Linked DNA regions of Anolis sagrei. The protein of the gene in region 4 interacts with the protein of the main gene of each other region in a pairwise test. Links are inferred from orthologs where the notes say so. Each region holds a gene or a part of one and is shown on either strand. Other genes may lie near its edges. The genes, in order: NEDD9, MORF4L1, TCHP and NAB2.

What was found.
Region 1: the proteins of NAB2 (region 4) and NEDD9 interact in binary tests that used the Homo sapiens proteins (3 or more experiments, as listed by UniProt). The two-hybrid records come from large-scale screens. The link is inferred for Anolis sagrei from reciprocal best matches to the Homo sapiens genes NAB2 and NEDD9.
Region 2: the proteins of NAB2 (region 4) and MORF4L1 interact in binary tests that used the Homo sapiens proteins (3 or more experiments, as listed by UniProt). The two-hybrid records come from large-scale screens. The link is inferred for Anolis sagrei from reciprocal best matches to the Homo sapiens genes NAB2 and MORF4L1.
Region 3: the proteins of NAB2 (region 4) and TCHP interact in binary tests that used the Homo sapiens proteins (3 or more experiments, as listed by UniProt). The two-hybrid records come from large-scale screens. The link is inferred for Anolis sagrei from reciprocal best matches to the Homo sapiens genes NAB2 and TCHP.

Annotation. Positions count from the first base shown.
Region 1 is NC_090024.1:83,014,634-83,022,577, forward strand, and holds the start of NEDD9 (enhancer of filamentation 1), read left to right. Parts: upstream 1-4,926; 5' UTR 4,927-5,111; coding exon of another isoform or gene 5,112-5,123; intron 5,124-7,944. UniProt on the Homo sapiens protein: Scaffolding protein which plays a central coordinating role for tyrosine-kinase-based signaling related to cell adhesion. As a focal adhesion protein, plays a role in embryonic fibroblast migration.
Region 2 is NC_090029.1:23,454,210-23,461,581, forward strand, and holds the start of MORF4L1 (mortality factor 4-like protein 1), read left to right. Parts: upstream 1-4,368; 5' UTR 4,369-4,439; coding exon 4,440-4,479; intron 4,480-7,372. Other genes in the region: ADAMTS7 (A disintegrin and metalloproteinase with thrombospondin motifs 7), read right to left, coding at 400-457. UniProt on the Homo sapiens protein: Component of the NuA4 histone acetyltransferase (HAT) complex which is involved in transcriptional activation of select genes principally by acetylation of nucleosomal histones H4 and H2A.
Region 3 is NC_090034.1:61,406,245-61,414,209, reverse strand, and holds the start of TCHP (trichoplein keratin filament-binding protein), read left to right. Parts: upstream 1-4,955; 5' UTR 4,956-5,063; intron 5,064-7,965. UniProt on the Homo sapiens protein: Tumor suppressor which has the ability to inhibit cell growth and be pro-apoptotic during cell stress. Inhibits cell growth in bladder and prostate cancer cells by a down-regulation of HSPB1 by inhibiting its phosphorylation.
Region 4 is NC_090022.1:184,057,052-184,064,171, forward strand, and holds the start of NAB2 (NGFI-A-binding protein 2), read left to right. Parts: upstream 1-4,107; 5' UTR 4,108-4,390; coding exon 4,391-4,503; intron 4,504-7,120. UniProt on the Homo sapiens protein: Acts as a transcriptional repressor for zinc finger transcription factors EGR1 and EGR2. Isoform 2 lacks repression ability.

The DNA.
Region 1 (7,944 bases), on a different chromosome or scaffold from region 4:
TGGGATGTATAGTTCACCTACAATCAAAGAGCATTCTGAACTCCACCAATGATGGAATTGAACCAAATATGGCACACAGAACTCCCACGACAAACAGAAAATATATATATATCAATGATTGGTTGGAGGGGGGCACCAAAATACTGTTTGCTTACCGTTGAAAATTACCTAGGGCCGCCTCTGCCTACAAGCTTCCCAAACTCCAAAGAAAGGGACAATCCCTATAATAAGGGACAGCTGCCAGCCTTCCAGTAGGGTGACATGAAGTGGAAATTTCCACTTCTTACTCTTAGCAGATTGACTCCTTTGAATGTAACTGACTATTTTGCTCACAACGTATTACAATATGACCCCCATATCTGCAACACCAGTATAGGATTCCACTTATCAATTTTTGACAAAATATTGTATGTCTTCTCCAGGCATTTTCTGGGTCCTACAATGTGATTCTATGGTATTCTTGGGCCAGAAGTCTTATGTTTCAATAAAGTTCACTATTATCCATGATTTTGTGTGTCCATGTGAAATCTGGGAGTGTATCCACCATAGATATTGGAATCGAATTGTACTTCCAATCTTGGGGCAGACATGGATGAAGACCAAGAGACCCAAAAGGTTACTTTCTCTCTTATTAATTTGCCCACAAACTGTGATCTTTGTAAACTCAATGAGAGAAGAGGTTCCAGATATGAAATTCCCAAGAAGACCCCAACACTCATGACTTCAGGTGGGCAGCGAACCCACACTCTGATTTACTCCTTTTCCTTATAATGCATTTTTAAAAATTGCTATAATTTATGATTTAGTGATTTTTGATTTGGTTTATGTATGTAAGGTATTGAATTTTGTATATTTTGAATACTGTAGAATTTGAAGGGGCACGAATGGAGGGCGAAAGAGAAATGTGCCAAGAGGAAGGCGTGTCAAGCCAATCTGACCGGGACCGCCTTCCACCTGGAAACCAATGTCCTCACTGTGTATGCTGTTACGCCTGGGGTCTATAGATCTTAGTGAAAGATACATGGACGTGATATCTCTCCCCAGGGGATTGCTTCTTGCCCTCCTTTAGGAAACTGGAACTCCCAAGGACCAAAACACTGGATCTAACTCAAAATAGGTTTTATTGTTCACAAAGAGTTATCCCTTTAAGGCAATAAGCTGGAAGTTTCAAAGGGATAAAAGAAATATACATTGCAGTCTCTGGTTGTCTTGGGTCCAAGGAGACTTCGCAGCTGAGAAGCTTTTCCTGTTCCCTCTTTCTCAATGGCTGCAAATGCCTGAACATTCACAGCTCCAAATCCAAATGGCCTATATTTGAAGACACGAAGCCTTCCTCTGGTGCCACAGGATCGGTTTGAAGGCACTTGGGTCTCCTCAACGCTGTCCAGGGAGATCTGGGCATGAAGTATGAGTCCCAAGGGTAAAAACCTTAGAATTGGTGATTAGAGGTAACTTAATTAAAGGCTTTAGAGCCAAGTCTTTCTCATGTCCATCTGCTGAGATGTCTGATGGTAGAATGAAGAAAGAAACACTGCCCTGCTCTCTAGGAAGAGGTGGGGTCAAAACAATTGAGCAGGAGGAGCAATTCATCTGGTGCAAACAACATTGATTGACAGCTATAAATAACCAATCAATCCCACTATACATTTACAGAGAAAACAGATAAGTTGGGGCATGTTACACAGTTTAAACCTTTGCAAATTAAAGTTCTACACACAGGTGGCGCCACTTGTGCCGTCACACTGTGGGAGAAGATGTAGGTGGCTCCACAACCACCTACGGACCCACTGCCAGAACACTGACCTTGGAGGACCATCATCCTTGGACTACGAGGGATCACCTAAGTAAGTAAGAAAGTAAGTAAGTAAAAACTGCTATAATTTATGATTTAGTGATTTATGATTTGGTTTATGTATGTAAGGTATTGAATTTTGCCCTTATTTTTTGTAAACCGCTTTGAGTCCCCCGTCCCCATCCCCCCCGGTTGAGAAAAGTGGTATATAAATACGGTAAATAAACAGATAAACAATAAAATAAGCATAATTTGAATGGGTATGTTGCTGTTCTTTTGTATTTTGTAAGCTGACTTTTATTAGTTTCAAAAAATGATCTTTACAAATAAATTATATAATAATAAAAAAGCCAGGTTCCCTCCACCAAGCCTATCTGCTCTGCAACAGAATCCTTGTACAGTAATCTGGTAACAGAATACAGCCTACTGTTCGTTTTTAGGCCGTTGGAAGCCATCCGAGTCCATCTGTGACTTAGAAACACTGGGGCAGGTCCAACTTGGTCAGAATAAAAGAAACAAAACGTTGAGCTCTCAGCAGCGGAATGCTTTGAGACTCAGACTGGAGATTTTTTTCAGTCCAAATCATTTTGTCTGGTTGGAGTTTCTCCCAGCTGAGATAGTGAATGTCTGGCCAGGAATCATTTCAACCTAATAAAGAGGCCCACTTATAAAGTATGGACATAGCAGGTCGTATTTGATTCATCTCTGCTTGCCTTTGAGTGAACTGAAGCACCTTGTCTTAAACTGGCACATCATTTTAAAAATTGCCAACAAGGGGGAGGGGGCATCTATATTGTTTGAAACCACCTTGCCCTCCAGCATCTAATCAACTCGTAAATAAAGAACTTGTCCCCATGCCAAAAGAAACATTTGACTTTTAATGTTATATTATGAGTGTTAGGGAGGAAAGGACAGAAGGAAATAATTAAGGTGTGTTGTGCAGAGACTATACTATTAACCAGGAAAATTTAAGATGCAAAAGTCGGTTGCTGAGTTTTTTTGGTTGTATGGCCATGTCCCAGCAGCATTCAATCCTGACGTTTTGCCTGTATCTGTGGCTGGCATCTTCAAAGGTGCACAACATCTGATTTCTGCCCTGAAAGCTTTCAACAAGTAAATTACTTATCATGAATTTTATTTACTTATTGTACATAGGAAAAACCCAAACAGCATTGCGGTTGTTCATTCATTCAGTCATTTCTGACTCTTTGTGATCTCATGGACCAGTCCACGCAAGAGCTCCCTGTCGGCCGTCACCTCCCCTAGCTCCTTCAGAGTCAAGCCAGTCACTTCAAGGATGCCATCCATCCATCTTGCCCTTGGTCGGCCCCTCTTCCTTTTTCCTTCCATTTTCCCCAGCATCATGGTCTTATCTAAGTTTTCCTTTCTTCTCATAATGTGGCCAAAGTACTTCATCTTGGCCTCTACTATCCTTCCCTCCTATGAGCAGTCAGGCTTTATTTCCTGAAGTATGGACTGATTGGATCTTCTGGCAGTCCAAGGCACTCTCAGAACCTTCCTCCAGCACCACAGTTCAAAAGCATCTATCTTTCTTCGCTCAGCCTTCCTTATGGTCCAGCTCTCACATCCATACGTGACTATGGGGAATACCATTGCTTTAACTATGCGGATCTTCGTTGCCAGTGTGATGTCTCTACTCTTCTATGTTTTATCGAGATTGGTCATTGCTCTTCTCCCAAGAAGTAAGCACCTCCTGATTTCCTGATTGCAGTCTGCATCTGTAGTAATCTTTGCACCTAGATTATATATTATTATATTACAGGACTGCTCCATTTTCTGAGTGGAGGCCAAAAGGAGGCACTAGACAAAGGATTGTCCATTTTATTGGGAGGAGGGTTGAAGAGTTAAACCATTTCCCCATTTTCCTGTTATTCTCTCCCTCTTTTGGATCTTTTTGAACTACAACTCCAGAACTCAAGGTCAATGCCTATCAAACCCTTCCAGTATTTTCCGTTGAGTTCGGTGTGCCACATTTGGTTCAATTCCATCGTTGGTGGAGTTCAGAATGCTCTTAGATTGTAGGTGAGCTATACATCCCAGCAACTACAACTCCCAAGTGACAAGGTCTGTTTCCCCCAAACTCCATCAGTGTTCATATTTGGGCATATTGAGTATTCATGCCAAATTTGGTCCAGCTCCATCATTGTTTGCGTCCACAGTGCTCTCTGGTTGTAGGTGAACTACAACTCCAAAACTCAAGGTCAGTGCCCACCAAACCCATCCAGTATTTTCTGTTGGTCAGGGGAGTTCTGTGCGCCAAGTTTGGTTCAATTCCATCGTTGGTGAAGTTGAGAATGCTCTTTGATTGTAGGTGAACTAGAAATCCCAGCAACTCCAACTTCCAAGTGACAAGGTCTGTTTTCCCCAAACTCCACCAGTGTTCACATTTGGGTATATTGAGGTTTGGTGCCAAATTTGGTCCAGATCTATCATTGTTTGAGTCTCTGGATGCAGGTGAACTACAACTCTAAAACTCAAGGTCAATGCCCAACAAACCCATCCAGTATTTTCTCTTGGTCAGGGGAGTTCTGCGTGCCAAGTTTGGTTCAATTCCATTGCTGGTGAAGTTCAGAATGCTCTTTGATTGTAGGTGAACTAGAAATCCCAGCAATTACAACTCCCAAATGACAAAATCAATCCCTCTCCCCAACCCCACCAGTATTCAAATTTGGGCGTGTCGAGTATTTGTGTCCAACTTGGTCCAGTGAATGAAAATACGTCTTGCATATGGGATATTCACATTATAATTCATAACAGTAGCAAAATTACAGTTGTGAAACAGCAACCAAAATAATTTTAGAGTTGGGGATCACCACAACATGAGGAACTGTATTAAGGGTGAGAAACACCGATATAGTTCAATCGTGAACCATGCAGGGTTATATGGCTGTGTGGAAGGGCTCTGGGTTTGGAAAACTTTCCTGGGCTCCTCCCCCTGCTCCTGCTCCCCCTCCCCCTCCCTTTCGTGCCAACGCAGAGCGCTAATGAATGACCCGTTCTAAAGGGGAGGCGGGGTCACCAGGAGGCATTCGCCCCCAGCTCAGGAACGTCTGGCGCGCTGGCCAATGGCGGAGAGGTATGCAAATGAGCCATCGCTTTGCCCCCTCCGCCAGGCAAACAATGCGCGGAGAGCGGCGGAGACTCCGAAGGGTGCTCGACCTCCGGCGGGAACGCGCCTCACTCCACACACGGGGACGCGCTTCGCTTCTAAGCGGGCAAAGGCTATGGTGGGCGAGGGGATCTCGCTGTAAAGCGGCCGGATTTCCCCCCAAAGACGCCCCTCATTAAGCTTGCGAGGATGAAGTACAAGGTAAGAAAACGGGAAGGAAAGTTTTGGCTTTTTGTCTAAGTTGGAAAAAAGCGCGCTGGGGCTTGGAAGGATTGCCCGGCTTCCTTCAATGGAAAAGGAAAGGCGAAGGAAGGAGAGAGATGATAGGTTGAGCCTGGTCTCCCTCCAAAGGATTGATTCCAAAGCTTTGAGCCATGGCAGGGAAAGTGGTGTCAAGCTGTTTTGATTCTACAGATGCCCTCACAGGGAAGGGAAAGGGCTGTCTCCAGAGTCAGCTTCCATCAATAACCTTCTTCATTCGACATGTTGCTTCATCACACTGGAGAAAAAATCCACTTAAAATCCGTTTTCTGCCTCCTACAGCATTCTAGGCTTTCTAGTTTAGGGAGGAGATTTTAACAGCCTCACTAAACTACAAACCTCAGTATTCTGCAGGAGGTAGAAACCGGATTTTAAGTGGATTTTTTTGTCTAGTGTGATGAGGAGTGAGCGTGAAGTTTCTAGCGCGGGCGACCTTTGCAGCACAGCAGGCGCGCTTCCTCCAGTCGCTTCCGTTCGGTTACTCCGGATTTAAGGTCGCTCTCAAGACCCAAGCTGATGTGATCGGAGCTCAGGCACTTTCTCCACTCCTTACCTGCGAGGAAAGAAGCCCTGTGGGGCTCAAGGGGACTTGACAGTCTAGGAATGCTTTGCTCAAGTCCTTATTTCTGAGCAAACAACATTTTTTTTTGTTCAAAGCTTTTATCAGAAATTCTTCCCCTTGTGTGTGTGTATGTTGGGAGGGAGGGCAAGCTGAGATCTGGGTTGTTGTGTATTTTCTTTAAACAGGGGCTGGATGGCCATCTGTCAGGGGTGATTTGAGTGCAATGTTCCTGCTTCTTGGCAGGGGGTTGGACTGGATGGCCCATGAGGTCTCTTCCAACTCTGATTCTATGATTCTATGATTCCGGGCAGTCTGGCCATGCTCCAGAAGCATTCTCTCCTGACGTTTCACCCACATCTGTGGCAGGCGTCTTCAGAGGTTGTGAGGTCTGTTGGAAACCAGGCAAGTGGGGTTTATATGTCTGTGGAATGTCCAGGTTGGGAGAAAGAACTCTTGTTTGCTTGAGGCAAGTGTGAATGTTGCAATTAGCTAGCTTGATTCACATATAATGGCCTTGCAGCTTCAAAGCCTGGCTGGTTGCTGCCTGGTTCTGTCTTCCACCCTGGACCTGTGAGTTTACCAAGCTGTCTGGCCATGTTCCAGAAGCATTCTTCCCTGACTTTTTGCCCACATCTATGGCAGGCATTCTCAGAGGTTTTGAGGTCTGTTGGAAACTTAGGCAAGTTGGGTTTATATACCTGTGGAATGTCTAGGGTGGGAGAAAGAACTTTTTTTTGATTGAGGCAAGCGTGAATGTTGTAATTGGCCAGCTTGATTTACATTTAATGGCCTTGCACCTTCAAAGCCTGGCAGGTTGCTGCCTGGTTCTTTCACCCACCCTGGACCTGTGATTTTCGGGGTTGTCTGGCCATGTTCCAGAAGCATTCTCCCCCGACTTTTTGCCCACATATATGGCAGGCATCCTCAAAAGTTGTAAGGTCTGTTGGAAACTTAGGCAAGTTGGGTTTATATACCTGTGGAATGTCCAGGGTGGGAGAAAGAACTCTTGTCTGATTGAGGCAAGTGCGAATGTAGCAATTGGCCACCCTGGTCATTCCACAGATACATAAACCCAACTTGCCTAGTTTCCACCAGCCCTGGCCCTTGAGTGCTCCAGCTGGAGGTCAGCTGTGACCAGCAGTGCTGTGGAGTTTGAAGAGGCACGAATGGAGGGCAAAAGAGAGAAACGTGCCAAGAGGAAGGCATGTCAAGCCAACCCTGACCAGGACTGCCTTCCACCTGGAAACCAATGCCCTCACTGCGGGAGAAGATGCAGATCAAGAACAGGGCCCCACAGTCACCTACGGACCCACCGACAGAACACCATCATCCTATGAGGGATCGCCTAAGTAAAGTAGTTTCCAACAGACCTCACAACCTCCGAGGATGTCTACCATAGATGCAGGTGAAATGTCAGGAGAGAATGCTTCTGGAACATGGCCTTACAGCCCGGAAAACACACAACACCCTAGTGATTCCGGCAATGAAAGCCATTGACAATACAAGTTGAGATCTTTTCTCGGAAGACTGACTCAAACATCCTTAAATACATGGCTTAGGGAAGGTGAGATTCAGACATTGCAAGAATGTTTTGTGAATTTTTCTTCTTGTTCTCTGCTGCCTTTGAGTTAAAGTTGAAAGACCTCCAAGTCAGCCTGTCCTCAAGGTCTTGCAGACCCAGGGTTGTGGCTTCTCGGATTGAGAACTACTCCAAAGATCAACACAGGCAGTCCCCAAGTTTCGAACAAGATTGGCTCTGTAGGCTTGTTCTTCAGTTGGATTTGTATGTAAGTTGAAACAAGGACATGTTTAAAGTGTAACTCCAGCCAAAACTATTTTTTTTCCAAAGCTTTGGATCGCATCGGTAAGGGTTAATACCCCTGTGGGGTTTGTTTTGCTGCCTGTGCCCCTGTTCAGAAGATTTCGCCTCATTTTCCAACCCTGGGATACTTTGATTTTGAAAAAATAGCTTGTTGTGGAAACAAGGACTGGTGAGAAAGCTTCAGTGAAGACATCTTTTCCCGCATGATAACTCTTTCAGGAGCAAATTTCCCATTTTAGGGGCAGTTTTCTCTGACGTCCTGTTTTCCTACGCCCATTTTTAACTATGAGTAGAATGTACGTTGGACGTTTGTAACTCGGAGATTTGCTGAACATGGACCCTACAGCAAATGAAGTCTCAACTCTCCCTAGAAGTCA
Region 2 (7,372 bases), on a different chromosome or scaffold from region 4:
AAAACCTATGTGCCTAGCTCAAACCACAGAACCCCCTGCTGTGATCCTAGTGGGAATGATTATGGAAAAACTCTGGTGCATGCACATTGCAAAAGAAATGCACTTTGGCACCACTTTAACTGTCTTGGTGGAATGCTGTGGCATCCTGGGAGGCTTTGGAAGGCAAAGACCAGCCCTTGCTGTGCAAAACTTGCCTAGAAAACTTTTTTTTTCCTGGGGAGGAATACAGAAAGAAAGCGAGAGGCTTGGCACACCAGGGAGGGATTCAGGGGGCTTCTGCGTGCAAGGCTTCTCTCCCCCTCCGCGCCCTCTGCGCATGCTCCGGGGACCCCTTGCCCCCCCCACCCCACCTCCAGGTCTCCCTCCCCTCTTTGGCAATCTCAAGGGGCCCGGACCCACCAGCGGAGGATGCGGCGAAGGCGGCCAGGAGGAGCGCCGGGAGGAGGCGTTGGGCCATGGCCGGGAGGGTCGGGGGTCTCTCTCTTCCTAGCTGCTGGACCCAGGAAGAAGAGAAGGAGGAGGAGGAGGAAGACCCCCGGCCCCCTCCATGCCGGCCGAGGCACGGCTCTGCGAGGGAGGAGGAGGAGGAGGAAGAAGGCTCCTTCGGCCACTCCTGCCGGGACCCTGCGGGACGGAAAGGGGAGGGGCCAAAGGGGAGGGGGAGGGGCTCAAGGGGACCCCAACCTCCTCCTGACACGCCCCTCCCACCCCCACCCCCCATGAGGAGGCACCGCAGCCCCGAAAGAGAAGGAAAGAGGCTCCTCTTCTTCCTCTTTTCTCTTCGTCTTCTTCTTTGTCCTCTTCCTTTTCCTCCTCCTCCTTCTTCCCCATCTTTCTCTTCTTCCACATATTCTTCCTCCTCTTCTTTCTTTTCCTCCTCCTCTTCCTCTTTTTCCTCCTCTTCTTTCCCTTCTTCCTCTTTCTTCCTCATCTTCTCTGTCTTCTTCCTTTTACTCCTTCCTCTTCCTCCTTTTCTACCACATTTTTCTCTTTCTCTGCTTCTTCCTTTTCCTTCGTTCTCTCCCTCTTCTTTTTCCACCTCCTCTTCTTTGTCCTTGTCCCTTTCCTCCTTCTCTTCTTCTTTCTTCCCTCTTATTCCTCCTCTTCCTTTTCACTTATTTCTCCTCTTTCTCTTCTTTCTTTTCCTCTTCTTCTTCCTCTTTCTCCTCCTCTTTTTCCTCCTCATCTTTGTCATCCTTTTACTCCTTTCTCTTCCTCCTTTTCTACCTCATCTTGGTCCCCTTCCCCTTCTTCCCTTCCCTTCTTTCTCTCCCTCTTCTTTTTCTTCCTCCTCCTATTCCTTCTGTTCTTCCTCCTCCTCCTCTACTTTGTCCTCTTCCCTTTCCTCCTTCCTCATCTTTCTCTTCTTCCACTTCTTCCTCCTCCTTTTCCTCCTCTTCTTCTTTCTCTTTTTTCTCCCCTCTTCCTCTTCTTCTTCCTTTTCACTTCTTCCTCCTCTTCTTTCTTTTCCTTCTCTTCTTCCTCTATCTCGTCCTCCTTCCTCTCCTTCTTCTTCTTCTTTTTTGTGCTTTTCCTTTTACTCCTTCCTCTTCCTTTTTTCCCCTCCTTGTAAGCTTGGCCATCTGTTGGGAGTTCTTTGTGCTTTTCCTGCATGGCAGGGGGTTGGACTAGGTGGCCAGGTGGTTTTTTTCAGTTCTATTATTCTATGATTATTCTTTCTCTTCTTCTTCCTCTTTTTCTTTTTCCTTCTTCTTCCTCCTCTTTTTCTTCTTCCTCCTTTTCCTCCTCTTCCTCCATTCTTTTACATCCTCCTTCCTCTTCCCAGGACTAGCAGAAAACACTGTTTGGCAATCCCTCTGGCACCCTCCTTGTGACCCCCAGATTGAGAAACCCTGGTGTAGATGTACCCATTGTCCCAATTTAAGCCATTGTTGTTGTTTATTAATTGAGTCACTTCTGACTCTTTGTGACCTCATCAACCAGCCCATGCCAGACCTCCCTGTCGGCCGTCTCCACCACCAGCTCCTTCAAGGTCAAGGATACCATCCATCCATCTTGCCCTTGGTCGGCCCCTCTTCCTTTTTTCTTCCATTTTCCCCAGCATAATGGTCTTCTCTAAGCTTTCTTGTCTTTTCATTATGTGGCCAAAATACTTCATCTTTGCCTCTAATATCCTTCCCTCCAATGAGCAGTCGGGCTTTATTTCCTGAAGTATGGACTGGTTGGGTCTTCTCATGGTCTAAGGCACTCTCAGAATTTTCCTCCAACACCACAGTTCAAAAGCGCCTCTCTTCCTTCGCTCAGCCTTCCTTCTGGTCCAGCTCTCACAACCGTAGGTGACTACGGGGAACACCATTGCTTTAACTATGCGGATCTTTGTTGTCAGTGTGATGTCTCTACTCTTCACTATTTTATCAAGATTGGCCATTGCTCTCCTCCCAAGAAATAAGCATCTCCTGATTTCCTGGCTGCAGTCTGCATCTGCATTCATCTTTGCATCTAGAAATACAAAGTCTATCACTGCCTCCATGTTTTCTCCCTCTATTTACCAGTTATCACCCAGTCCGGTTGCCATAATCTTGGTGCTTTTGATGTTTAAGGGCAACCCAGCTTTTGCCCTTTCTTCTTTCAACTTGGTTAGAAGGCTCCTCAGCTCCTCCTCGCTTTTAGCCATCAAAGTGGTATCATCTGCATACCTAAGGTTGTTAATATTTCTTCTAGCAATTTTAACCCCAGCCTTGCATTCGTCAAGCCCTGCATATCACGTGGTGAGTTCTACATACAAGTTGAATAAGTCAGGTGAGAGTAGACAGCCCTGCTGTATGCCTTTCCCAATCATGAACCAATCTGTTGTTCCATGATCAGTTCTTACTGTTGCTACTTGGTCCTTATACAGATTCCTCAGGAGAGAGACAAGGTGGCTTGGTATGCCCATGCCACAAAGAACTTTCCACAATTTATTATGATCCACACAGTCAAAGGCTTTAGAATAGTCAATAAACAGAAATAAATGTTTTTCTGAAAAGCCCTGCCTTCCTCCATTATCCAGCATCTGGATATTGGCAATTTGGTCTCTTGTTCCTCTGCCTTTTCTAAAGCCAGCTTGTCTTTACTTAGGCGATCCCTCGTTGGACGAGGGTCTTCCATGATCAGCATTCTTGTGGATCCGTAGGTGGCTGTGGAGCCCTATTCTTGACCTGCATCTTCTCCCACAGTGAGGGCATTGGTTTCCAGGTGGAAGGCGATCTCAGTCAGGGTTGGCTTGACACGCTTTCCTCTTGGCATGTTTCTCTCTTTCACCCTCCATTTCTGCCTCTTCAAATTCTGCAGCACTGCTGGTCACAGCTGATCTCCAACTGGAGCGCTCAAGGGCCAGGGCTTCCCAGTTCTCAGTGTCTACTTACTTTACTTAGGCGATCCTTCGTTTTCCGAGGAGGATTGTCTTCCAGTATTCTTGTGGGACTGTATGTGGCTGTAGAGCCCTATTCTTGCTCTGCATCTTCTTCTGCAGTGAGGACATTGGTTTCTAGGTGGAAGGTGGTCTTGGTCGGGGTTGGCTTGACGCACCTTCCTCCTGGCACATTTCTCTCTTTCACCCTCCATCTGTGCCTCTTCAAATTCTGCAGCACTGCTGGTCACAGCTGATCTCCAACTGGAGCGCTCAAGGGCCAGGGCTTCCCAGTTCTCAGTGTCTACTTACTTTACTTAGGCGATCCTTCGTTTTCCAAGGAGGATTGTCTTCCAGTATTCTTGTGGGACTGTATGTGACTGTAGAGCCCTATTCTTGCTCTGCATCTTCTTCTGCAGTGAGGACATTGGTTTCTAGATGGAAGGTGGTCTTGGTCGGGGTTGGCTTGACGCGCCTTCCTCCTGACACATTTCTCTCTTTCACCCTCTTCAAATTCTGCAGCACTGCTGGTCACAGCTGACTTCCAGCTGGAGCGCTCAAGGGCCAGGGCTTCCCAGTTCTCAGTGTCTATGCCAGAGATTTTAAGGTTGGCTTTGAGCCCATTAAAGATGGGCCAGCTTGTCCATCTGGCAACTCTCTCTGTGTGTCTTGCTGGAGTCTTCCTTGCAGGATCTTGAGCATGAGAAATAGTCATAGGACACATCAAAGCTTCCTTGATGCAAAAGTGCCCTCTGGCGGCACAAGGAAGAAAGGTGCTTGTCTTTGATAAAAAAGCAACGATTTCGAGGCACACAACCAAGATAAAGGAGTAGTGAGTGTTATTATTTTCCTGTTCAGGCCTGGGCAAACTCCGGCCCTCCAGTTGTTTTGGACTTCAACTCCCTTTCCCCCCTCAGATCGCTTAAGACTACTGAGACCGGCATGCCTCGCGCGAGGGAGGGAGGGAGGGAGGCGGAGGCGAGTCGGGCTCCCGTTTACTGCGCACGCGCGCCTCAGGCCCCTCCTACTCTCTGGCCCGGACTGCGCCTGCGCGGGCGAGCAAGCGGGGCGGAGGCGGAGCCGCGTATAAATGGCGCCCAAGCAGGACCCGAAGCCCAAATTCCAGGAGGGTGAGGGGGCCGCCGGGGGAGGGAGGCCAGGGGTAGCCGGGGCACGCTGGTGGGCACACTTATTTCCCCTCAGGAAGGAGGAGGAAGGCCTTCTCAGGGAAGGGCACCCCCTTTGAGGGGCCTCTCAGCCAGCCAAGGAGGCCTACACGCTCCCCTGGGATGGGAGGCCTTCTGCCTTCCACAGAATAGCATTTCCTTTGTGGAGGATGCATCCCTTCCTCTCGTTCTCCTCACAGACCTTCTCCCCTTCTCTTCTCCCTTTCCCCTCTCCCTCCCTCCCTTTTCATCTTCCTTTGCTGTCCCTCCTCCACCTTCTTCCTCTTCCTTTCCTCGTATCTTTTCCCCTTTCTATTCAGTTCCTGCCCTCGTTTTTTCTTTTTTCCACCATCCCTCCCTTTCTTTCCCTTCTCTTTCTCTCTTTTTTCTCTTCCTCCCCTTCATTCTCTCTCTCTTTCTTCCTTCCCTTTCCCATTCATCTCATCCCCTTCTCTTTCTCTCTCCCTCCCCTTCGTTCTCTCTCTCTTTCTTCCTTGTCTTTTCCATTCATCTCCTTCTCTTTCTCCTTCTCTCCCTCCCCTTCTTTTTCCATCTCTTTTCTCTTTTTCTCTCCCTCCTTTTTTCTCTTTCTTTCCTCCCTTTCTCTTTTCTCTCCTCTCCCTTTCTTTCTCTTCTATTTCTCTCTTTTTTCTCTCCCTCCCCTTCATTCTCTCTCTCTTTCTTCCTTTCCTTTCCCATTCATCTCATCCCCTTCTCTTTCTCTCTCCCTCCCCTTCCTTTTCCCTCTTTCTTCCTTGTCTTTTCCATTCATCTCCTTCTCTTTCTCCTTCTGTCCCTCCCCTTCTTTTTCCATCTCTTTTTCTCTGCCTCCTTTTTTCTTTCTTTCCTTTCCTTTCCTTCCTCCCTTTCTCTTTTCTCGCCTCTCCCTTTCTTTCCCTTCTATTTTCCTCTTTTTTATCTCCCCTTCCTTTTCTCTCTCTCTTCCTTCTCTTTTCCATTCATCCCTTTCTCTCTCCTTCTCACCCTCCCTCCCCTTCTTTTTTTCTCTTTTCTCTCCCTTCTTTTTTCTTTCCTTCCTTCCTTCCTTCCTCCCTCTTTTCTCCCTTTCTTTCCCTTCTTTTTCCTTTTTTCTCTTCCTCCCCCTCCCTCCCCTTCCTTTTCTCTCTCTCTTCCTCCCTTCTCTTTCGCTCTCCTTCTCTCCCTCCCCTTCTTTTCCCCTCTCTTTTCTCTCCCTTCTTTTTTCTTTCCTTCCTTCCTCTTTTCTCCCTTTCTTTCCCTTCTTTTTCTCTTTTTTCTCTTCCTCCCCCTCCCTCCCCTTCCTTTTCTCTCTCTCTTCCTCCCTTCTCTTTTCCATTCATCCCCTTCTCTTTCGCTCTCCTTCTCTTCCTCCCCTTCTTTTCCCCTCTCTTTTCTTTTTCTCTCCCTCCTTTTTTCTTTCTTTCCTTCCTTTCTCTTTTCTCTCCTCTACTTTTCTTTCCCTCTTTTCTCTCTCTTCCATCTCTTTTCCTCCCACCCTTCGCTTTCTCTCCTTCTCACCCTCCCTCCCCTTCTTTTCCCCTTTTCTCTTTTTCTCTCCCTCCTTTTTTCTTTCTTTCCTTCCTTCCATCCTTCCTTCCTTCCTCTTTTCTCTCCTTTTCTTTCCCTTCTTTCTCTTTTCTCTCTCCCTTCTCCTTCCTCCCCTTCCTTTTCTCTTTTCTCGTCTTTTCTCCCTTCTTTCTTTCCTTTCTTTGTCTCTCCTCTTCCTCCCTTCTCTTTTCCATTCATCACCTTCTCTCTCTCTTTCTCTCCTTCTTTTCCTCCCCTTCTTTTCTTTCTTTTTTCTCCCTCCTTTTTTCTTTCTTTCTTTCTTTCCTTCCTTTCTCTTTTCTCTCCTCTCCCTTTCTTTCTTTCCTTCTTTCTTTCTCTCTTCTCTTTTCCCTCCCTTCCTTCTCCCCTCGTTTCTCTCTCTTCTCTCCTCTCTCCCTTTCTTTTCCATTTGTCCCCGTCTCTCTCTACTTTTCTTCCTTTCTTTCCCTTCCTTTTTTCTTTCTCTCATTCTCTCCCTCCCATCTCCTTTCCGTTAATCTCTTTCTCATTTTCTTCTCTCCCTTTCTTTCTCCTCTCCCTTCCTCTTTCCTTTCCATTTGTTTCTTTTCTCCCTCTCTTCCTTTCCCTTCTTGCTCTCTAGTCTCTCCCTTCTCCTTTCCATTTGTCTCTTTCTCTCCTTCTTTGTCCCCTCCCCTTTTCTCTCTTTCTACTCCTTCTCTCCATCCCTTCTCCTTTCCGTTTCTTCCCTTCTCTCTCTCCTTCTCTGCCTCTCCCTTCCTTTCTTCCTCTGGATTGTATGCCATGAAGCATTTGTATGTCATGTTGGTCCATCTCCATCAAGCTATAAAGGGAGTCTTTGTAGTACCAATACACATACATAGACATATAGATATATATCTCAATACATATATGAATGATAGAATATATAAAGCATAGAGTGCCTCCACATCAGGCACGGGCAAACTTGGACCCCCCAGGTGTTTTGGTCTTCAACTCCCACAATTCCTAACAGGCTGTTAGGAATTGTGGAAGTTGAAGTCCAAAACACCTGAAGGGCCCAAGTTTGCCCGTGCCTGATATACAATGTAGAATGAATGCAGTCTGACCCTATTTTAATATTTGACAATTTGGGGGCAGTAATCTCCCGAGGGAGAGCCTGAGTTGGCCACATTATTATTGTTACTTATAGTATTGAGATAATCAGAGAAAACTACCAAAACTTTATTGAAAAAATAAATATGAAAACACAAGACAGTTAAGCATTTGTTAAAAGAAAATTATTGAACACTATTAAAAGGCAACATGTCCTTGATTCCTAGTGGCAGATAGCAAAGCCCTGCCTGTCTTTGAGAGCAGAAGTCGAAATATA
Region 3 (7,965 bases), on a different chromosome or scaffold from region 4:
TGTGTGCGCGCGCGTCGGGGAGTTTGCGCCAGTGCGCATGCTCAGTTGTTTTGCCGTTTTTTGTGGTTGTTGTTGTGTGGTTTTGATTTCTGAGTGGATTAGTTTGTACCTAGTGGGTTGTCCTTGGGGCATGGCAATTTTGGTACAGTTTTGTGGAGAGGTTTTAGAGTTTTGCTTCCCCGTTGGACGCCAGTAGGAAATTTATATATATAGATAATATGATAGTAATATAATAATATAATCTATATATTTATATCTATTCTATCTATATCTATATCTATATAATAAAAGTCAGTGTTTGGGGCAGGTTGGATCATGGATGATAGGATTTGCAGTGTTTTCAAATGCTTCAGCACCCACAGACCACCAGCCCACAACAATGAGAGATCAGGACCAAGCTTGGCACACAGAGCCCCCATGACCCACTCTACATCCTGGTGCGGTTTGAAGGAGGATGGACCATGGATTATGGGACTTGCAGTACATTCATTTACTTCTGGAGATCCCTGCGACCTACATCAATGACAGATCACGACCAAACGTGGTACACAGAACCCCCATGACCCAGTCTATATCCTGGTGAAGCTGATAGAAGCTTTAGGAGGGTCTTCCCCAAAGGGAGGGACCCTGAGACCGTACCAAAAAGGGTCCGCTACTTTGGCGAGCCAGAGAAAGCCTGATTTCAGCAATTTTGTTGAGATTAAAATTCAAAATAAGCTCACTGAAAGTCGAAGAAAGGCACCGAGGTGGTTTTATTTGCGATTCAGCTGAAAAGGATGCTAAGTAGCGATAATTCGTCTACAGAGCATACCAGTACAGAGATCAGAGGCATTTTTATAGGAATTTCCAGGTTTGAAAGTTCAAAATTCCCGCCCCCAGCCCTCCGCCCGGCTCGCCAGTGATTGGCTGATGAGATTCCAGCTGGGAGGAGGCACGGCCGGCCGCCCTGCTTCAATGCCAATCACGGAGCTCCCCCGCTTCACAGGGGCCATTGGGAAAACTTTCCACGCTTCAGCGCCTTGGCGAATCAGGAGAAGGGAGGCGGGACGAAACAGAAACAATGAGCCGGCGAATGAATCAATGGGTGCGATGCCCACCCTATTGTCCTTGAGTGGATTTGCGATGATCTTTGATTACCTTTATCCTGGTCTCCAGCCACAATCAGATAAGGCACAAAGGGTGGCTTGGGGAAATGTCTGGTTTATGAATGGAGTAAGCAAAATTGGGAAGGCGACCCCCCAAGGATCGTCTCGCTCCTATTGTGAAGATGGCCAAAGGTTTGCCAAGGACATTCCAGACTGATGGCCATAATCCTGGAACCACATGGAGATTCCAGGTCTTATTGTCCACGCCAAAGTTCTGGGATATGTGTTTCTTTGTTGCCTCTGATTGCCTTTCCAACAGCTGGCCGCTTCCTTGAGGTGACTCTCCTACTATGAAGGGGCGAGGGGTGGGGTGCCAAGGAAAAATACTTGGGAAAAGAAACAGGAATCCAGATAAATTCATGTCAACCTCCCTTCTCTCCCCCCACCTGCCAGAGAAATTGGTTAATATAATTTTATTAAGACGTGAGTCCATGGTTCATGTGGGGCAATTCATATGTAGGGAATGAGTTCATAGGAGCAAGAAAAGGGGATTAAAGAAAGCCAAAAAGTCTCAAAAAGGTGTCTGATCATTTCCACTGAGCCAAAGGATGGATTCCAGCAATGTCAAGATCAAGTTGGTCTTTTGTCCTTGGGGAACTATAACTCCTTCCAAGGACTTGGGCCTCCAGGCCAGGCTCTTCCCCGTGAGCCTTATGGGGTAACCACACCAAGTATTCGGGGGCATGGGTCTGGCGGAGGCGATGAGATGGCGGGGCGCAGCAGCGCAGAAGTAACGGAGCCAGCTTTTTGACAATCAGCTGTTCCTCGCAAAATATATTCTTAAATTGGTTATTTCCCGAGTGTAGAAGTCCAAAAGGCAAAAAGCGAGATAGCAGATAGGGTTAGAATTAAGCTAGGAAAAATATGCCACCGAAATGGGGGCGTTTGGCCATCTCGCGGATGACTCAGAGGGGAAGACTCAGTATCCGCGGTTAGAAAAGTGCAGATTCGGCCTCCCCGGAATGCCAGGAAGGCATTCCGGGCAAGCCTGCAGTCTCCTGCGGCCTGGGAAAGATTATTTTCAAGCATTTAGATAGTTCAGGCAAGGAAAGAACCAAAGTATCAAGCTAGAGGGTTAAAAGTTGCAATTTCATAAATCTTTATTTGGGGTTTTGTTACAAAGTAGGGGCTGGGTAGGAAAGTGGGAAGAGAAAGCATAGGGCTGTTTTGAGTCCTGGTTGAGCTCGCTGTTGGGGCTCATTTAATCAGTTTGGCCCAATCCTTGCTTCCAGGAACTGCGGAAATCCCTGCTGCAGGTCAATTTAATTTAAAAGCAGAGGTCTGAGCTGCGCTCGGTATCACTGGTGCTATTTGGAGGAGGAGGATAAATTGATGATGGAACTTGCAGTACTTTCACTCACTTCTTGAGATCACTGTGACCATCAACAATGACAGATCAGGACCAAACTTGACACACAGAGCCCCCATGACGCACTCTACATGCTAGTGTGATTTGGAAGACTTTGGACCATGGATAATGGGACATGCAGTATCTTCATTCACTTCTAGAGACCACTGTGACCATCAACAATGACAGATCAGGACCAAACTTGACACACAGAGCCCCCATGATGCACTCTACATGCTAGTGTGATTTGGAAGACTTTGGATCATGGATAATGGGACATGCAGTATCTTCATTCACTTCTAGAGATCACTGTGACCATCAACAATGACAGATCAGGACCAAACTTGACACACAGAGCCCCCATGACGCACTCTACATGCTAGTGTGATTTGGAAGACTTTGGACCATGGATAATGGGACATGCAGTATCTTCATTCACTTCTAGAGACCACTGTGACCATCAACAATGACAGATCAGGACCAAACTTGACACACAGAGCCCCCATGATGCCCTCTACATGCTAGTGTGATTTGGAAGACTTTGGACCATGGATAATGGGACATGCAGTATCTTCATTCACTTCTAGAGACCACTGTGACCATCAACAATGACAGATCAGGACCAAACTTGACACACAGAGCCCCCATGACGCACTCTACATGCTAGTGTGATTTGGAAGACTTTGGACCATGGATAATGGGACATGCAGTATCTTCATTCACTTCTAGAGACCACTGTGACCCAAACCAATGACAGATCTTGGCACACATAGCCACCATGACTGACTTTACATCCTGGTGCGATTTGGAGGAGGACGTACCATGGACGATGTGACTTGCATATGGGAGTTGTAGTTCATCCACACCCACTGAACCCAGCCGACATTGGATCTAGGCGAAACTTGATATCTATTAAAATATAATAGGTTTATTTATAAGTCACTTAAATACAAATGCATTGGGTTTTATTCATTTCAAAGTGCTGACTTTAGCCTAGAAAGCCCTAAACCAGTGGTTCTCAACCTCCCTAATGCTGTGATCCCTTAATACAGTCCCTCATGTTGTTGTGACCCCCAACCATAATATTGTTTTCGTTGCTACTTCATAACAGTCATTTTACTACCGTTATGTATCATAATTTAAAAATCTGATATGCAGGGTGCATTTTCATTCACTGGGCACAAATACCCAATGCACACAAATGTGAATGCTAGTGGGGTTGGGGGAGGATTGATTTTGTAATTTGGGAGTTGTAGTTGCTGGGATTTATAGTTCACTTATAATCAAAGAGTATTCTAAACTCCACCAATGATTTGAACCAAACTTGGCTCCCATGACCAATGGAAAACACTGGAGGGGTTTGATGGGCATTGACCTTGAGTTTGGGAGTTGTAGTTCACCTATATCCAGAGAGCACTGCGGACTCATGCCATGGTGGATCTGGACCAAACTTGGCATGAATACTCAATATGCCCAAATGTGAACACTGGTGGAGTCTGGGGAAAATAGATCTTGACATTTGGGAGTTGTAGTTGCTGGGATTTATAGTTCATTACAATCAAAGAATATTCTGAACTCAACCAACGATAGAATTGGCTCAAACTTCCCACATGGAATCCCCATGACCATCACAAAATGCTGTGTTTTCTTATAGTCTTTGGCGACCCCTCTGACACCCCCTCGCGACCCCCTTAGGGGTCCTGACCCCCAGGTTGAGAAACACTGCCCTAAACGGTTCCGGTCCAGCTTCCCTGTCCAAACGTATCTCTCCTTATGAACCATCTAGGAATTTAAGATCGTTTGGGGAGGCCCTGCTCTCGATCCCGCCTTCTTTGCAGCTGCGGCTGGCGGGGACGAGAGACAGGGCCTTCTCAGTGGTGGCCCCTCGGCTGTGGAACTCCCTCCCTAGGGATATTAGATTGGCCCCCTCCCTCCTGACCTTCAAAAAAAATGAAAACATGGCTTTGTGAACAAACCTTTGGGAATGCAGTGCAATAGATAAACACGGAATTATGTAAGACTGAAACATGGAACGGCTTAGACGAAAGTGAGCTTAAGTGGAAGATATTGCTTATTATGTTTTTAATTGTTTTTGTATGGATTTTATAATTTTTTTTTTGTATTTTGTGAATTGTTATGGCATCGTCTTGCTGCCAATTTGTAAGCCGCCTTGAGTTGCCTTCAGGCTTGAGAAAGGCGGGATTAGAAATATCGTAAGCAAATAAATAAACAAATTTCACGCATAAGGGGAAAAACAACAACACTCCTATTAAGTGCTTTCCAATGGGAACCCGGAAGTGTAGGATGGGAGATCGCTTCCAATTATACTGAAGCCCTTTGTCGTTCTCAGTTCGCTTCGTGCTAGTGGATGGAAGGAAGGAAAGCGGTTCTTAAAGCGAGTGGCCACGCCCCCTTCGCGCGAAGGGAGAACAAGGAAAGGTTTCTCTCCCTCGTCGGCTTCCGTAGCTCCCAACCGGAAGTGTTGCTATGGCGACGCCAGAAGTGGGGAAACCGTTAAAAATGGCGATGAAGGAGGAGGAAAGACGGTAAAGCAGCAAGTTCCGAAAAAGGTACTTAATTATAAAAATATATATATTTAATTAAAATTGTTAATTAGTAACTGATAATTAATATATGTATGTGTATAACATAATAATCTCTAAAGGGTCTCCTGTATAATAATAATAATAATATAATAAAATATGATAATATAATTTTTAAAGTAATACAATAATAATATAAAATAACTATAATATAATATAATGTGATAATAAAATTTAAAGTAATTAATGTAATAGAATAATACAGTATAACATAATAATAGAATATATTATCTATATAAATAAATAAATGTAATGTTAGTTCGTGCTACCATCAGAACTCCAAAACCACTGGGGGAATTGACACCAAATTTGGACACAAGACACCTAACAGTCCAATTTATGTCCTCCACTAAAAAAAAATGATTTTGTCATTTGGGAATTGTCGTTGCTGGGATTTATAGTTCACCTACAATCAAAGAGCATTCTGAACTCCACCAATGATGGAATTGGGCCAAACTTGGCACACAGGGCTCCCATGACCAACAGAGAAAACTGGAAGGGTTTGGTGGACATTGACCTTGAGTTTGGGAATTATAGTTCACCCACATCCAGAGAGCACTGTGGACTCAAACAATGATGGATCTGGACCAAACTTGGCACGAATATTCCATATGCCCAAATATGAACACAGATGGAGTTTAAGGGAAATAGACCTTGACATTTGGGAGTTGTAGTTGCTGGGATTTATAGTTCACCTACAATCAAAGAGCATTCTGAACTCCACCAATGATGGAATTCAACCAAACATGGCATACAGGACTTCCATGACCAACAGAACACACTGGAAGGGTTTGGTGGGCATTGACCTTGAGTTTGGGAGTTGTAGTTCACCTACATCCAGAGAGCACTGTGGACTCAAACAATGATGGATCTGGACCAAACTTGACACAAAAATTCCATATGCCTAAATATGAACACAGATGGAGTTTGGAGGAAATAGACCTTGACATTTGGGATTTGTAGTTACTGGGATTTATAGTTCACTACAATTAAAGAGCATTCTGAAACCCACAAATGACAGAAATGGGGCAAACTTCCCACACAGAACCGCCATGACCAACAGAAAATACTTAAGGCCATCCAGTCCAACTCTCTTCACCAGACCATGAAAATGTAATCAGAGCCCTCCTGACAAAGAGCCATCCAGTCATAAATATAGATAGATAGATAGATAGATAGATATGATTCTCTCTCACACACATAGATATAGTATCACAGATTTTAAAGAGACCCGTAAAGAAGGACAATGATATGTTGCATGTTCCAGGGAGAGCAAATCAGACACTCTCCACATCACACCTTGAGTTTGGGAGTTGTAGTTCACGTACATCCAGAGAGCACTGTGGACTCAAACAATGAGGGATCTGGACCAAACTTGGCACAAACACTCAGTACGCCCAAATATGAACACAGATGGCGTTTGGGGGGAATAGACCTTGACATTTGGGGGTTGTAGTCACTGGCATTCACAGTTCACCTACAATCAATGAGCATTCTGAACCCCACGAACAGCAGAATTGGGGCAAACTTTCCACACAGAACCCCCATAACCAACAGAAAATACTTAAGACCATCCAATCCAACTCGCTTCATCAGGGCAAGAAAGTGTAATCAAAGTCCTCCTGACAAAGAGCCATCCAGCCATAAATATAGATAGATAGATAGATAGATAGATAGATAGATATGATTCACACACACACAGATATAGTATCATAGATTTGAAAGGGACCCTTAAAGAAGGACTATGATATGTTGCATATTCCAGAGTAGGCAAACCAGACACTCTCCACATCAACACTGACAAAGAAATAGCAAGAAATACTGTTTACCCACAAGCATAAAGAAATTACATATATTAGAAACCAACACTTTCCCATTACTTTATTTTCCAGATCAACAGACTGGGCCACAGCAACACGTGGTAGGGGACAGCTAGTAAATATAAGTGTGTGTGAATTGTATCTATCTGTTAATATCTGTGATTGGATGGCTCTTTGTCAGGAGGGCTTTGATTACGTTTTCTTGCTCTGGTGAAGAGAGTTGGTGGTCGGGACCCCTGGGGGGTGTCGCGAGGGGGTGTCAGAAGGATCACCAAAAACCACCAGAAAACACAGTATTTTCTATTGATCATGGGGGTTCTGTGTGGGAGGTTTGGTCCAATTCTATTGTTGGAGGGGTTCAGAATGTGCTTTGATTGTAGGTGAACTATAAATCCCAGTAACAACAACTCCCAAATGTTAAGATCTATTTCCCCCAAACTCCATCTGTGTTCATATTTGGCATATGGAGTATTCGTGCCAAGTTTGGTCTAAATCCCACCAACTACAACTCCCAAATAGCAAAAGCAATTTTTTTTAGTGATGGTCACTCCTTGGGTTAGTAGATGTCTTGTGGCCAAATTTGACGGAAATTCGTCCAGCGGATTTTGAGTTATGATGTCACTCAAAACAAACAGAGCATTAATATAGATAGATAGATAATAATATATAATATATAATAATAATATACAATAATAATATATAATAAAAGGAGCCCCACTGCCCGGATTCCAACGGCCAACCTTTCAGTCAGCACAGCAGGTTAAACAGTTGAGCTGCTGAACTTGCTGACTGAAAGATTAGCCATTGGAATCCGGGCAGTGGGGTGAGCTCTCGCTGTTAGCCCCAGCTTCTGCCGACCTAGCAGTTCTGGACCACATTTGGCACAGAGTCCCAACATTGCCTGGTTTTGGGGAAGATTGACCCACGATTCTGGGAATTGCAGTTCACCCACATCATTATATATTTCCTAATGGGAGCATTGATGAAAAAATAAATCAAAGACTGTTTTTTTCCTAATAAATAGTGTTACTAATTAACTAAATGATATG
Region 4 (7,120 bases):
ATCCATCATTGTTTGAGTCTACAGTGCTTTCTGGGTGTAGGTGAACTACAACTCCAAAATTCAAGGTCAACGTCCACCAAACCCTTCCAGTATGTTCTGTTGGTCATGGGAGTTCTGTGTGCCAAGTTTGGTTCAATGCCATCGTTGGTGGAATTCAGAATGCTCCTTGATTCTAGGTAAACTATAAATCCCAGCAACTGCAACTCCCAAATGACAAAATCAAGCCCGCACCCCACCAGTATTCAAATTTTGGTGTTTCGAGTATTTGTGCCAAATTTGGTCTAGTGAATAAAATACATCCTGCATATGTGATGTTTACATTACGATTCATTTGTTGTTCATTCGTTCAGTCGTCTCCGACTCTTCGTGACCTCCTGGACCAGCCCACGCCAGAGCTCCCTGTCAGCTGTCACCACCCCCAGCTCCTTCAAGGTCAGTCCAGTCACTTCAAGGATGCCATCCATCCATCTTGCCCTTGGTCGGCCCCTCTTCCTTTTGCCTTCCACTTTCCCCAGCATGATTGTCTTCTTTAGGCTTTGCTGTCTCCTCATGATGTGGCCAAAGTACTTCAACTTCGTCTCTAGTATCCTTCCTTCCAGAGAGCAGTCGGGCTTTATTTCCTGGAGGATGGACTGGTTGGATCTTCTCGCAGTCCAAGGCACTCTCAGCACTTTCCTCCAGCACCACAGCTCAAAAGCATCGATCTTCCTTCGCTCAGCCTTCCCTAAGGTCCAGCTCTCACATCCGTAGGTTACTACAGGGAATACCATGGCTTTGACTAGGCGGATCTTTGTTGCCAGTGTGGTGTCTCTACTCTTTATTATTTTATTGAGATTGGACATTGCTCTCCTCCCAAGAAGTAAGCATCTCCTGATTTCCTGGCCACAGTCTGCATCTGCAGTAATCTTTGCACCTAGAAATACGAAGTCTGTCACGGTCTCCACATTTTCTCCCTCTATTTTCCAGTTGTCAGTCATTCTTGTTGCCATAATCTTGGTTTTTTTGATGTTTAGCTGCAACCCGGCTTTTGCGCTTTCTTCTTTCACCTTGATTAGAAGGCTCCTCAGCTCCTCCTTGCTTTCGGCCATCAGAGTGGTGTCATCTGCATATCTGAGGTTGTTAATGTTCCTTCCAGCAATTTTCACCCTAGCTTTGCATTCATCCAGCCCCGCACATCGCATGATGTGTTCTGCATACAAGTTTAAAAGGTTGGGTGAGAGGATGCAGCCTTGCCGTACGCCTTTCCCAATCTTGAACCAGTCTGTTGTTCCGTGGTCAGTTCTGACTGTTGCTACTTGGTCCTTGTACAGATTCCTCAGGAGAGAGACAAGGTGGCTTGGTATGCCCATCCCACCAAGAACTTGCCACAATTTATTATGATCCACCCAGTCAAAGGCTTTAGAATAGTCAATGAAGCAGAAGTAGATGTTTTTCTGAAACTCCCTGCCTTTCTCCATTATCCAGCGGATATTGGCAATCTGGTCTCTCGTTCCTCTGCCTTTTCTAAACCCAGCTTGAACATCTGGCAACTCTCGCTCCATGTATTGCTGGAGTCTTCCTTGCAGGATCTTGAGCATTACCTTACTGGCATGAGAAATAAGGGCCACTGTACGGAAGTTTGAGCAGTCTTTCGCATTTCCCTTTTTTGGTATGGGGATATAAGTTGATTTTTTCCAGTCTGATGGCCATTCTTGTGTTTTCCATATTTGCTGGCAAATGGCATGCATCACCTTGACACCATCATCTTTTAAGATTTTAAACAGTTCAGCTGGGATCCCATCATCTCCTGCTGCCTTGTTGTTAGCAATGCTTCTTAAGGCCCATTCAACCTCACTCCTCAGGATGTCTGGCTCTAATTCATTCACCACACCGTCAAAGCTATCCTCGATATTGTTATCCTTCCTATACAGATCTTCTGTATAGTCTCGCCACCTTCTCTTGATCTCTTCAGCTTCTGTTAGGTCCCTGCCATCTTTGTTTCTTATCATACCAATTTTTGCCTGAAATTTACCTCCAATGTTTCTAATTTTCTGGAAGAGGTCTCTTGTCCTTCCTATTCTGTTGTCTTCTTCCACTTCCATGCATTGCTTATTTAAAAATAGTTCCTTATCTCTTCTGGCTAACCTCTGGAATTGCGCATTTAACTGGGCATATCTCCCCTTTTCACTGTTTCCTTTTGCTTTCTTGGGCTACTTCCAGTGTCTCAGCAGACAACCATTTTGCCTTCTTGGTTTTCTTTTTCTTTGGAACGTACTTTGTTGCCGCCTCCTGAACAATGTCGCGGACTTCTGTCCATAGTTCTTCTGGGACTCTGTTTACTAAATCTAGTCCTTCAAATCTGTTCTTCACTTCCACTGTATATTCGCTAGGAATGTTAGTGAGATCATATCTAACTGGTCTGTGTATTTTCCCTGATCTCTTTAGTTTTATTCTAAATTGGGCAATAAGAAGTTCATGATCTGAGCTACAGTCAGCCCCAGGTCTTGTTTTCACCGACTGGATAGATGTCCGCCACCTTTGGCTGCAAAGGATGTAGTCAATCTGATTTCGGTGCTGACCATCTGGTAAGGTCCATGTATAAAGCCGTCTTTTAGGTTGTTGGAAGAGAGTATTCGTTATACACAGCGAGTTTTCCTGGCAGAATTCTATCAGCCTGCGTCCCGCTTCGTTTTGTTCTCCCAGACCATGCTTGCCTGTGATCCCTGTTGTCATTTGACTTCCCACCTTGGCATTCCAGTCTCCTGTAATGAAAATAATGTCTCTTTTTGGTGTATTATCCAGTAGGTCCTGCAGATCCTCATAGAACTGATCTACTTCTGCTTCTTCAGCTGCTGTGGTTGGGGCGTATATTTGGATCACTGTGATGTTGAGAGGCTTTCCTTGCACTCGAATTGAGATCATTCTGTCATTTTTGGGTTGTATCCAAGCACTGCTTTAGCGAATTTCTTATTAATTATGAAGGCTACTCCATTTCTTCGATGTTCCTCTTGTCCGCAGTAGTAGATCTGGTGGTCATCTGATGTGAAGTGGCCCATTCCAGTCCATTTCAGTTCGCTGACCCCCAGAATGTCTATCTTTAGTCTTGACATCTCACCAATAACAACATCCAATTTGCCCTGGCTCATAGATCTTACATTCCAGGTTCCTATGGTGTGTTGATCTTTAGAGCATCGGATTCGTCGTTCACCTCCAGTACCGTCGGCCGCTAGCCTTCCTTTCGGCTTTGAGCTAGCTGCGTCATCACATCTGGGGCTAGTTGAACTTATCCTCTGCTCCTCCCCAGTAGCATTTTGGCCATCTTCCGACCTGGGAGTCCCATCTTCCAATGGCATACCGACATATCTCTGGTTGTACTGGTCCATTTAGTTTTCTTGGCAAGGATACTGGAGTGGTTTGCCATTGCCTTCCCCAGGGATCACGCTTGGTCTGACCTCTCTGCCACAACCGTCCCGTCTTGGGTGGCCCTTCACGGTTTCGCTCATGACATCATTGAGGTGCTCAAGCTCCAGCGCCCCGACAAGGCGGTGATCCTTTGCTGGAGATTCATTACGATTCATAACAGGAGCAAAATGACAGTGATGAAGTAGCAACAAAAATAGTTTTATGGTTGGGGGTCACCACAACATGAGGAACTGTATTAAGGGGTCGCGGCATTGGGAAGGTTGAGAAACACTGCTCTAGAACATGGTCATATAGCCCGAAAAAAATTATAAGAACCCAAAGCCCTTTTTGGTAAATATGCATAAGAATGTGGGGGAGGAATCCCTCAGCCTACTCCTATCTTGAGTCTAGCTCCTCATTGTGGACTGGAGACTTGATGTGACAAGAGACTTGTGCAGAGCAGGGATGAGACCCAAAACATCTGAAGGAGCACCGTTTGAGAACCACTGGTTCACATGTTTTGCTCTGAGTTGGATTACATGAGTCTACACTGCCAAAGCAGATCATCTGGATGTTCGATGTCAGTGTGGAAAGGGCCTTTGTAGCCTTCTCTGCCTGCCCACGAGGGCTGGAATCTCTCCAAACTCCCCCTGATGCCAAACTGCATGAACCGGACAGTGTGTGGCTGCAGCTCCTTCCCTTCACTTCCCTCCCTTCAGTGCTGCTGCTGCTTCTTCCGCCCACGAGCCTCCCACGCGCCACTGAGGCAGAGCAGCAGCAGCACAAGCAACGCGGAGCCATTGTAAATCCGGCGGCGTGGGAGGCAACTCCGTGCCAAAGGCTGAGCGCACAGAGAGAGGGAGGGAGGGAGAGGCGAGGAGGAGGAGGAGGAGGAAGAAGGAGAAGGGGAGGAGGAGGGAAGGAAGGAAGAGCAGAGAGAGCGATTGAGAAAGAGAGCGATTGAGAGAGAGCTTCCACGGACAGAAGAGGGGACCAAAAGCGGCGTCGGATGCCTTGCGCCCTCGGAGAGAAGAGCAAGAGGAAGGCGCCTCCTGCAGGGCGAGCCAACCCCTTGGCCCATGCCCCACCCGCGGCCTCGGAAGGGAGCCACGCAAGAAACCCGTGAGTGCCTTTGGGAGGAGGGGGAAGGGAGAGCGAGTTAGGACACCCCTCTACACGGTGGAACTGATGCAGCTCCACACCGCTTGAGCTGCCCTGGCTCCATGCAGAGGCATCATAGTTCTCTCCTCCTCTGGGGCTGATCGGCCCTCTATTCCAGCATCTGATCCCAAGTTTTCTCCTTTAAACCGGATTATGTGAGTCCACACAGCCAGATAATCTGGGATAAACAGAAAACCGAAAACCTGGGATAGAGGGCCTGTCTGGAAGAGTCCACACTGCCAGATAATCCAGTTCAATGTGGATTTTATGCAGCTGTGTAGAAGGGGCTTAAGCAACAAATGCAAGAGGAAGTCAGTTAAACAAAACTATGTGTGTATATATGTGTGTGTGTGTGTGTGTGTGTGTGTGTTTGTGAATGTATATGTGTGTGTGTGTGTGTGTGTGTGTGTATATATATATATATATATATATATATATATATATATATATATTTGTGTATGTGGGTGTGTGTGAATAATTCAGTTGGGAGAGACGACAGGGGCCATATAGTCCATCCCCCCTGCCATGCAGGAAAAGCACCATCAAAGTACCCCTGATAGATGGCCATCCAGCCTCTATTTAAAAGCTTCCACCACATTCCGAAGCAGAAAGTCCCACTGCTGAATAGACATAAATATACAGTAGATTTGTCAATATAGAAAGATGAAGATGGGGAAGCGGACCTCGGGGTAGAAAATGAGGACATCAGTAGAGAGGCCACATTTTTCCAAGCACTGATTATAAACTCATGGAACCCCCGGTAGCGCAATGGGTTTAAACCCTTGTGCCGGCAGGACTGCTGACCAAAAGGTCACAGTTCGAATCTGGGGAGCAGGGTGAGCTCCTATCTGTCAGCTTCAGCTTCCCAAGCAGGGACATGAGAGAAGCCTCCCACAGGATAGTAAAAATATCTGGGTGTCTCCTGGGCAACATCCTTGCAGACAGACATCTCACTTCTCACATCAGAAGTGACTTGCAGTTTCTCAAGTCACTCCTGACATGAAAAAAAAGTTTAATTTAGAAGCTGTTTTGGGAAGTGAAGTAGTTAGGTAGTTTTAGACTGGGCTTCATGGTCTTATACTAGGAGGTGCTTAAAAGGAAGACCACTCATGACCCCTTTTTACCCAATAATGTTTCATATGACCTGGCTATAGATGTATGTCAAATTGATGTGAACACTAAACATTTACTGTGGCTGGATGTCCATCTGTCGGGGGTGCTTTAATTGTGTTTTTCCTGCATGGCAAAGAGTTGGACTAGATGACCCATGTGGTCTCTTCCAACTCTACGATTCTGTGACAAAATCTGCATTTGCAAGGCTTGCTAAGCAGACTGATTTCCCCTTTTTGTGATGTACAACTAAAGCATCTTCTGCAGAGTCCACTGTGAACACTGCACATTTTTGCTAACAGAATACTGTTTTTTAAACTGTAGGTCCTGATCCCAAATGGGGACCCCTTAGCTCAGTGTTGGAATCACAAAAAATGGGCAACAGCGAAACATATCTGAACCATGTGCAATGTTTACAACAATGTGCAATGTTTACAGTTGGGCTGGTTGTGCAGAAAATGCTTCAGCTGTCCTCCAAAAAAGGAAAAGTCAGTGCTCTAGATTAGTGATTCTCAACCTATGGTCCTCCCAGTTGTTTTGGACTTCAACTCCCAGATATCCTAGCCATCTTACCAGGTGTTAGGAATTGTAGGAACTGAAGTCCAAGGCTGAATCTATACCGCCCTATATTCCAGGATCTAATCTCAGGTTATCTGTTTATCCCAGATTATTTGGCAGTGTAGACTCAGATAATCCAGTTCAAAGCAGATAATTGGGATCAGATCCTGGGATATAGGGCAGTGTAGATCCAGCCCAGGATACCAGGAGGACCAAAGATTGGGAAGCACTGCTCAAGGTGGTTTTGCAACTCCCATCATTCTTTATTAGCTCTCCTGGCTGCTGAGACTTGCAACTTCATGGCACCTGAAGGGCAACATTTTTCCCACTCCAGTCCAGCAGGCTCCTCCCTGTTCAGATGTGTATTTACTTTACTGTATTACTTCCAAATATGGTTTAAGGGACATGTGCCATTCTCTTAAACGGGGCCACAGAATTCTGCCCCTAAAGCCCTCCTAAAGCATTTTGGCAAGCATGATATGTAATGGTGAGAGGAAAGGCAATGGTGGGAGTGGGCTGCTGCCTTCCCCGTCTCTTACAAACTACCACCACCAAAAGCATTCCTTCTCAACCTTCTTAATACAGTTCCTCATGTTGTGGTGACCCCCAACCATAAAAATATTTTCATTGCTACTTCATAATGGTAATTTTGCTACTGTTATGAATCATCATGTAAATATCTGATATGCAGGATCTATTTTCATTCACTGGACCAAATTTGGCACAAATATCCGATACACCCAAATTTTAATACTGGTGAGGTTGGGAAGGATTGATTTTGTCATTTGGGCATTGTAGTTGCTAGGATTTATAGTTCACCTACAATCAAAGCGCATTCTGAACTCCACCAACAATTGAATTGAACCAGGCTTGGCACACGGAACTCCCATGACCAACAGAAAATACTGGA